Linked DNA regions of Neurospora crassa OR74A. The protein of the gene in region 1 purifies or fractionates together with the protein of each later gene. This does not show direct contact. Links are inferred from orthologs where the notes say so. Each region holds a gene or a part of one and is shown in the gene's direction. Other genes may lie near its edges. The genes, in order: NCU05194 and NCU09552.

What was found.
Region 2: the proteins of NCU05194 (region 1) and NCU09552 purify together in Saccharomyces cerevisiae (affinity purification with mass spectrometry; 3 studies listed by BioGRID, with this or other methods). This does not show direct contact. The link is inferred for Neurospora crassa OR74A from reciprocal best matches to the Saccharomyces cerevisiae genes MCM6 and TOF1.

Annotation. Positions count from the first base shown.
Region 1 is NC_026504.1:5,796,779-5,801,347, reverse strand, and holds the start of NCU05194 (DNA replication licensing factor mcm6), read left to right. Parts: upstream 1-1,551; 5' UTR 1,552-1,737; coding exon 1,738-2,033; intron 2,034-2,098; coding exon 2,099-4,569. Other genes in the region: NCU05193 (hypothetical protein), read right to left, coding at 52-314. UniProt on the Saccharomyces cerevisiae protein: Acts as a component of the MCM2-7 complex (MCM complex) which is the putative replicative helicase essential for 'once per cell cycle' DNA replication initiation and elongation in eukaryotic cells.
Region 2 is NC_026505.1:4,564,045-4,568,629, reverse strand, and holds the start of NCU09552 (topoisomerase 1-associated factor 1), read left to right. Parts: upstream 1-1,678; 5' UTR 1,679-1,847; coding exon 1,848-1,922; intron 1,923-1,982; coding exon 1,983-4,585. Other genes in the region: NCU09553 (3-hydroxybutyryl CoA dehydrogenase), read right to left, coding at 35-868, 944-1,060. UniProt on the Saccharomyces cerevisiae protein: Forms a fork protection complex (FPC) with CSM3 and which is required for chromosome segregation during meiosis and DNA damage repair. FPC coordinates leading and lagging strand synthesis and moves with the replication fork.

The DNA of each region.
Region 1 (4,569 bases):
GTCCGTTAGCCGTTTTGTCTTGGGATCAGATGTCAGGTTGGCCGAACTTACACCTCAAGCTCCTGCAAAGCACCAATCACCATCTCCATGTCTCCGTCCCACTCGAGTCCAACGGGGAGCGACGTCGCTTGGATGTCATGATGATCAGCGCCCCTGGGCGTAGCTTCACTGTCTCCTCTTCCATCCATGCTCCTTGCCGGCTTCGAAGGCGAAGCGTGTACACGAGCGTTGTCAACAGCTCCAGCCGAGAAGTCATGGCGGAGGTTGGCCAAATGGCGATGCCATAGCTGAGTGAAGTCCGTATTGCTGTTCATCTTGGACTTTTGACTGACTGAATGCGGGCCCAGATACGATCTTCTCTGACACAAAGCTTTGTTTGGCCGAGTCAGCTGATAGTGTCTTTGTTTCGCTTGTCAAGCCATTCTGATGTCAAGAGACTACTGATCTAACATTGCTGTTGTTTGTGGAGTGGTAGAAGAAGCTGAGACGTCAGGAAGGGGGGTGATGGCAAAGATAGATCAGGTTCGCCGCCACGCTGCCCACCTACATGGCGTTTCAGCCCAGAGATCTGATCGGGGGGAGGGGCAGGCGGATACCAGATTGCAGAAGGTCGTCACGTCAAGCAAGGACATGTGTTCTTGGCCGCGGGTTGATGTGGGTGGTCAAGGGCTGGCATGCTCTCGGCTAAAGCCTATCAGCCCAGATGAAATTGTGGTAACACTGCAGCTTGTATGTCTCGGAGATGTTGGAGTTTGGGACCGAACATGACCGGGACCACTTCTGACTGGTTCGACCTCACTATACTCACCTTCTTGTGTTGTACCTTGTCTGACATACATACATAACTCGGATGTTATAGAGAACCACCACGGACTTGACCTGGCAGCTGGCCGGTTTTAATGGCAAGATACCATGGCAAGCTGGTTGATGGATGTCACCGAAGGCTGAGGAAATTGGACGAGGGCGATTGACAGTTCAGTTTGGCTGATGTGGGAGGGAACACTGCATTCGAGGAACCGAGGGAGCGACGACAATTGTGTGGCACTTGATAAAGAGTGCCGACAGCGGGAAGAGGGCATCAGCTCGAGAAAATTGTGCTTCGTCAATACACACAGAATTGTTCAATGGATGGAAGAAGCATCACCCATTTTGCAACGGCTTGTGAGGAAGGAGCATCTTGCTGGAGGATTTCTCAAATCAAAATGAATGAAAATAGTTGGGAGAGAATTGCAAAAGGTCTCATTCGGCACACGAAAGGCCTGGAATCACTAAAAGACATAGTAGGCAACTTCTACCAGGAGGCTGAATCCTTGGTAGGGCAAGTCGGGTCGTCGTACGAACAAGGCAGAGTCGAATGGCGATGCTTCGTTACAGCAAGTGTATTGCTTTCGGCGATACACCCCAGAGGTTGAATTTCTGTGGCCAAGTGCAGGTGGTATGCAGTTATCCAATCTATATCCCACTAGCGAAGCCATTAAAGAGGGCCCCACTTGTGCGCGCCAGCTTCCTGGTCTTGGCGCGCTTCAGCTTTTCTGGCGCGTGTTTTATCGTGTTTTCTTGACAGGGAGGACTCAGTTCCCCTCCCCTCGTCACAGTTTCCCCTCCTTCCACTCACTAACCAGTCAGTCCTTGGTCCCTTGGGTTCTCATATCTCTACTTGAATCTTGACCTCGACAACTTCCAATCTCCACCAACTCTCCTTGATACCCAGGTGGACCACAGCAACACCATAACACAATGGCAACACCAATGGCACACTCCAGCGATGCTGGCTTCATGATGTCGGACGGAATCGCTTCGCGAGGAGGAGCTACTCCCAGGGCGCGAAACGGTCATCCCAGTTCCTCTTCAGCTCGTCCACGAGGCCCCCCCTCAGAAAGCCTCGGAGCGGCCAGCGAAGACGAGGGCGAGGAAGGGTTCGCTGATGATCAGGTCCCCGTCCGCTCGAGGCCTCGGAACATTGCCGACATCCCCAGGGTTCAGGATAGGATTGGTGTCATGGTCCAGAGAGCCTTTGAGGCCTTCATTGACGGGTATGAAGATCCAAGAAACCAGCCAAACATGTACTACTTGGTGTACTTGCTGACACCGGCGCCAGCTACGTCGAAACACCCACCTCGTCCGGCCAACCAACCTCGAGCGCAGTCACGACAGACAAGTACTACGTCGCCCAGATCCACGGCATGAGGACCTACTCGTTATCCACCTTCTACGTCGACTACAAGCACGTCGCCTCATGGCAAGACGGCACCCTCGCCGAGGCCATCACCAACTCGTACTACCGCTTCCTTCCCTTCCTCACAGCCGCCCTCCATAGCCGAATCGCCGCCCACGAACCCCAATACTTTAACGAACATCGCCAGCCCACGGCATCCAGCGCCCACTCCACGACAGCCGCCAGCACACGAGGCGCCAACGCGAGCCAGTCCGACTTTGGCATCAAGAACCCCAACCAACAAACCGACAAGCTCTTTGCCATTGCCTTCTACAACCTGCCCCTCGTCTCGCGCGTGCGCTCCATGCGCGCCCGCAACGTCGGCCAGCTTCTTGCCATTAGCGGCACCGTCACACGCACCTCCGAGGTCCGGCCCGAGCTGGCTCTGGCCACCTTTGTCTGCCAGGCCTGCTACGCCGTCGTTCCCAATGTCGAGCAGACGTTCCGATACACCGAACCGACGCAGTGTCCCAACTTGACGTGCCAGAACCGCACTTCGTGGCAGCTGGACATCAGGCAGAGCACCTTTGTGGACTGGCAAAAGGTGCGCGTGCAGGAAAACAGTAGCGAGATTCCCACAGGAAGCATGCCCAGGACAATGGATGTGATTTTGCGCGGCGAACTGGTGGATCGCGCCAAGGCCGGCGAAAAGTGTATCTTTACGGGTGCGCTGATCGTGGTGCCGGATGTCAGTCAATTGGGTCTGCCGGGTGTGCGGAACGTGTCGGTGCGTGATGATCGGGGTGCGGATGCCGGTGGCAGTGGTGTTTCTGGTCTCAAGGCCCTGGGTGTGCGCGATCTTACCTACCGTTTGGCGTTCCTGGCTTGCATGGTCACGCCTGATGTGTCGGCAATCGGTGCTTCTGGCGATGCCCTTCTGATGGACATTGTTGGTACCCTCAACAGCAGCGCGGCGGCCGAAACAGCCGAGACCATCAAGGAAGCCCAGGAAGCTCTGCTGAGCTCCTACACCTCTGCCGAGATGGAAGACCTCCGTGCCATGGTGCACAGCGACCACATCTACGCACGCCTTGTCCAGTCCTTGGCACCCACAGTCTACGGTCACGAAGTCGTCAAGAAGGGTATCCTCTTGCAGCTTTTGTCTGGTGTCTCCAAAACCACCGCCGAAGGCATGGCACTCCGTGGCGACATCAACATCTGCATCGTCGGCGACCCCTCGACGTCCAAATCCCAATTTCTCAAGTACGTCGTCAACTTTGCTCCCCGGGCAGTCTACACCTCCGGCAAGGCCTCTTCCGCCGCTGGTCTTACGGCTGCCGTGGTCAAGGATGAAGAAACCGGTGAATTCACCATTGAAGCCGGTGCCCTCATGCTCGCTGACAACGGCATCTGCTGCATCGACGAGTTCGACAAGATGGACATTGCCGATCAGGTTGCCATCCACGAAGCCATGGAACAGCAGACCATTTCCATTGCCAAGGCCGGTATTCAGGCCACGCTTAATGCCAGAACCTCGATTCTAGCAGCTGCCAACCCGGTCGGAGGTCGCTACAACCGCAAGACCACCCTGCGCGCCAACATCAACATGTCGGCGCCCATCATGTCGCGTTTCGATCTGTTCTTCGTCATCCTCGACGAGTGCAACGAGCAGGTCGACCGCCACTTGGCCGAACACATTGTCGGCCTGCACCAAAACCGGGACCAAGCCATCGAGCCCGAGTTTTCCACCGAGCAACTGCAGCGGTACATTCGTTTCGCTCGCACTTTCCGCCCCGAGTTCACCGACGAAGCCAAGGAAGTCCTCGTGCAGCGCTACAAGGACCTGCGCGCCGACGACGCCCAGGGCGGCATCGGCAAGAACAGCTACCGAATCACCGTCAGACAGCTGGAGAGTATGATCCGTCTGTCTGAAGCCATTGCCAAGGCCAACTGCGTCGAGGAAATCACGCCCGATTTTGTTAATGAGGCGTTCCACCTTTTGCGGCAGTCGATCATTTCCGTCGAACACGACGACGTCGAAGTAGACGACGAGGAAGACGCTCCCGAACCACCCGCCGACTCCCCCGAGGCCTTGCAAGCCGCCGCCGCCGCTGCTTCGCGCGTGCCCGAGGCCGATATGGACGGAGATGGCGACGTCGACATGGGTGGTGAAGCTGCCCGACAGCCGTCTGCGGCACCCTCGCAAGCGCATCGCGAGAAGCAGACGATTTCGTACGACAAGTACATTTCCATTGTGAACCTGATCGTCTCCAAGGTGGCCGAAGACGAGACGCAAGGCTCAGGGGAAGGGATCGAAGGCGAGCAGCTGGTGGAGTGGTACCTGGAGCAGAAGGAGGAGGAGATGGCAACGGAAGAGGAGTATCACGAGGAGAGGAGGTTGGTGGGCAAGGTTT
Region 2 (4,585 bases), on another chromosome or scaffold:
CACACACTCCCCTTCGCATATTCTCGTCAGACATCTATTGGTAGTCATAGAAGCCCTTGCCACTCTTCTTGCCCAACCAGCCAGCATCGACCATGTTGCGCAAGTGCACGCTCGGCCTATACTTGGAATCGCTCGTCTCCTCGTACAATACTTTCATAATAGCCAAACAGGTATCGAGACCGATAAAGTCAGCCAGCTGGAGGGGGCCCATAGGCACGTTGGTGCCGTTCTTCATAATAGCATCGATAGAGTCACGGTCGCCAACGCCAGTCTCCAGGCAGATAATGGCCTCATTGATGTAAGGCATCAAGATGCGGTTAGCCAAGAATCCCGGGCTGTCCTTGGAGATGGAAGGGATCTTGCCCAGCTTCTTGCAAAACTCGACGGCCGTGTCAAGCGTCTCCTGACTGGTCTGCAGACCGCTGATGATCTCGACTCCCTTCTGAACGGGCACGGGGTTCATGAAGTGCGTGGACACGACGCGCGAGCTGTTGGAGGTGTCGTTGGGGTCCTTGGTGGTTGAGGCGGCGATGCGCGTGATGGAGATGGAAGAGGTGTTGGTGGCTAAGATGGCGTGCTTAGGGCAGATCTCGGCCAGCTTGGAGAAGATGTCGAACTTGAGCTTGGGAATCTCAGGCACAGCTTCAATCACAAAATCGACGCTGTCCAGGTCCTCGAGGATGGTGGTGGGCTGGAGGAGCGCGCGGGCGGCGTCCGCCTCATCCTGAGTGATGCGTTGCTTGGCCACATCCTTGCTGAGGAGCTTGTCGGCGAATGCAAGGCCCTTGTCTAGAGACGTTTCAGAGGCATCCACAAGGGTGACGGGGACTCTGGCCTTGGTGGCGGCGACGAGGGCGATGCCCAGGCCCTAAAGGAGAAGGAGGACAAGTCAGCCGTTGCCGTTGTTGAAGACATGGGCATGAATGATATGGGCCGGACTCACCATCTGGCCGGCGCCAACGACACCGAGCCTCTTGACCTCGGCAGCGTTGCGGGCGCATGTCGAGCTGAAGGCGCGAGCGCCCATGGGCAGCTTCTGGACGAGGGTTCTAGCAAGCATTTTGCGAGATCGTCACGGCGAAAGTAAACAAAGCAGACACTGTGACTGAGAGAGACTGAAAGGAAAGGGACAGAAAAATCGGAAGACTACACCTAGGTAGGCAACCAGGGCACCTCTAGAGAATGCGAATGCGACGATGTGAAGTTGTCGGATTCGGTTAACCTCGGCCGTCCTCGTCTCCAACTCGACGTCACAAGCCCGACCCGGGCCACGGGGGGGACATAACATACTGCCGTACAGGAGCTACGGGCGGCTCTAGCCTTTTCTTAGGCGGGGAAAATGGGGTCGGTTTTAGCGCGTATGGAGTACTATGTACGCTACCTAGAGGTACAAGCATGTCGTTCAGGGGGGGCAATTGCGGGCATGATTCCCGCGCCAACTCAAGATCCTCGGCTGTCGTTGATTGCCCGTCCACAGGGGTAACTCCGCAGCTCTCCACGAGGTCGAAATCGGGGTGCACAGGTACTGCTGCAGAGGTATCTCTAGTAGGTAGCTAGGTACATTAGGTACCTACTTACCCAGGTATCTTAAAACAGTCCGACAAAACGCTTGGGGAGATAAGCAGGCCAAGACCAAGATACCACCAATTTCCATTAAAAAGTACGACACGGTCGGCGCGTCTCCCACCACCACAAACGCGTGTCCCGTCCCGACAAAGTGCGCCCGACCAATGCCACCATCCATGCGATAACAAAACGACCTCCAAGACAAGCTGAGAGTTGGGGAGAGTCTGTCTAGTACTCGTATGACTCCGTTCTGGTCTTGGACGCCGTGATTTCTGCGCAAAATGGAGGCCGCAGACATCAACGACGATGTCGTCCATCCGGAAGTGCGGGCGCACATCACCAACCTGGTTTCTGCGGTATGTCCACTTCTGGACTCGTTATATACACGGATGTACTGACTCTGGCGACCCGAATAGCTCGGTGGTTACAGCGCGGACGATGATGGAAGCTACAAGCTCGGTGACGAAGCGCTAGACGTCTTGCGCGACCTGAAGAAATGGATCCGATTCTACGATGAAAAGACCAATCGCATGGACGTCGCCAGATGTCTGGCTGAAGCGAACCTCGTCGGCGGCGATCTGCTCCAGATCCTGACATTATGGCCTCAAAGCGAAACCGACAGCAAGTACAAGGCCCGTATTGCTCTGGCGTGTTTCGAGGTCATGGTGCCCCTTACTTGGCCCATAGAGAAGGAGCGCGCCGAAATGACCATCAACCACCATCGTCACATGCCCGTTCTGCAGCTTGCCCAGCTTGGCTACAAGCGCGCCATCATAAACTTCGATGCGATACCCATCCTCAACACCGCCGTCAGGGTAGCCCTTCCCTCCATGGCCATGCCTATCGGCGAGCGGACACCCCGTGACCAGGCCATCATCAAGCTCATTCTCTTCTTTTTGAGGAACGTTGCCATGATCGCACCCCCGCAAGGTGTCAAATGCGAAGGCGACGAGACACAGGTATCCAGGTCGGCAACCATTGATGCCTTTTCGTATCAAGACATATTTCTCACTCTGCTGACCCTTGCCTCCAACATGGGCGAGGACTTCCGCACCGAAGATGTAGTTATCATGGAAATCATCTTTCATCTTGTAAAAAGAGTTGACCCCAGCTCGCTCTTCGTCAGTGAAAAGCAACTCAACAAAGCCAAGGGGCAAGAGCTGGCATCGGAGATGCGCAAGGAGGCTGCTATGCTAAAATCCTACAACAAAACCACCACCACTCGGCACAGTCGATTTGGGACCATGATCTGGGTGAAACGAGCAGATGGCAAGATGGTGACGGTATCTGGCCAAGAGGCTCTTTTGGACGCAAAAACGCGAGAGAGGAAGATGGATAACTCCAAAACATTCAGACCGCCAAGAAGAGCGAGGAAACCCGAGATGGAGCCCAAGGACCTTGGCCCTCCGGTGACGCTAGATGAAAGAGCTCGTCAGCAGCTGCGATCATTCGTCCAAGACTTCCTCGACTCCGGTTTCAACCCCTTGTTTCTGCACGTGAGGCAATCGATCGATCGGGAGGCATTGCATGCATTGAACCAGCATAAGAGCCAGTTCTTTTACCTTGTCGCCTGGTTCCTCGAAGCCGAGCGGATGCGGAGAAAGGCCAAGAGGGACGAGTCGAAGTCGACGTCCGCAGCCGGAGAGGAGGTGAACAGTTTTAACCTCGTTGCTGCTGTGCTCCAACAGGAAATGTTCGCTTCCATGAATCGTGCGCTTGACCGGTCCTATAGTGATAAGGATTGGCAACTGCTCACGTCCGTCATGCGCTGTTACACCCAGATCTTCCTCACAGTCCAGGAGATGTCAGAGTCTCCCAACGAGGAAGACCAGGAGATTGCCGAAAACACCCTGAGCCGTCTCTTTTACGAGGAGACAACCCACGACCTTATCGCGAATATTGCTCGAACATACAAGGATCAAGGCTTCGAATATCTTGATGCCGCGACCGAGCTTGTCCACACTTTCCTCCGCATTTTAGAAGGTTACTCTAAGCAAAATGTCGATTTGCAGGTGCGCTCACGGAAGCGAGCTCGCCGAAAGAAGAAGGCTGCCAAAGCTGCTGCTGCTGTTGCTGCAGCTAGAGCCGCCGGTGAGGAAGCAGAAGACGTTGGCGTTCCCGAGGACAATGATGCCGATGATTCTGGGGACGATGAGCAACATGCAGAGCGGGTCACTCAGGAGCGCAAGTTCGAGTTTGGGAAATTCGCCATTCGATTCGCTCCCCAGGGTGTTGTCGACACATTTGTCGCCTTCACCAAATTCTACCGGGATTTGAACGACGCACAGCTGAAGCGCGCTCATCGCTACTTCTACCGCGTTGCCTTCAAACTCGAGCTGAGCATCATGCTATTCCGACTAGACATCATCAATCTCTTTTACAACATGGTCCAAGGTCCCGAGCCCCTCGACAAAAGCTCGCCGATGTTCAAGGAATGGGAGGAGCTCTCCAAGCAGATCATTCGGAAATGTGTCAAAAAGCTTCAAGAGCGGCCTGCGTTGTTCACCGAGTTGCTCTTTTCCAAGATTGGCAGCACGACGCACTTCCTTGAGCACGGCTATGAGAAGCCTGTCACCACAACTACGCCACGACCTGGTGCCGAGCTGGAGTTCAAGCGAGCCACAGAGCGCGACGAGCAGATTGGCATTGCGGTCAGCGTACTCATCGACAAACAGCAAGTCGAGCATCTGCAGTGGCTCAAGGATCAGCTGACAAGTGCAATGAGTGAGCGGCAAGCATGGGAGAACGTAGACAAGGCCATGGCAGCCACTACCGAGGGGGCGGCTGATGGTGAAGCTGCCGACGAGAGATCCAACAAATCAGCACCACCACATATCACGATCCGCCCTGATACCGAGGCTCGCCGCACAGCCATGTTCAAGAACCCGCACCTCCGTCTTCTCATGCGTCTAGTCGGTATGGAGCGTCTCACGCCTACTCTCGACGAGACCCCCGACTCGACCTGGATTCTCCCAGGCAGCCACACCGCCGAGGCGATCCAAGATACCATCGACCTCAT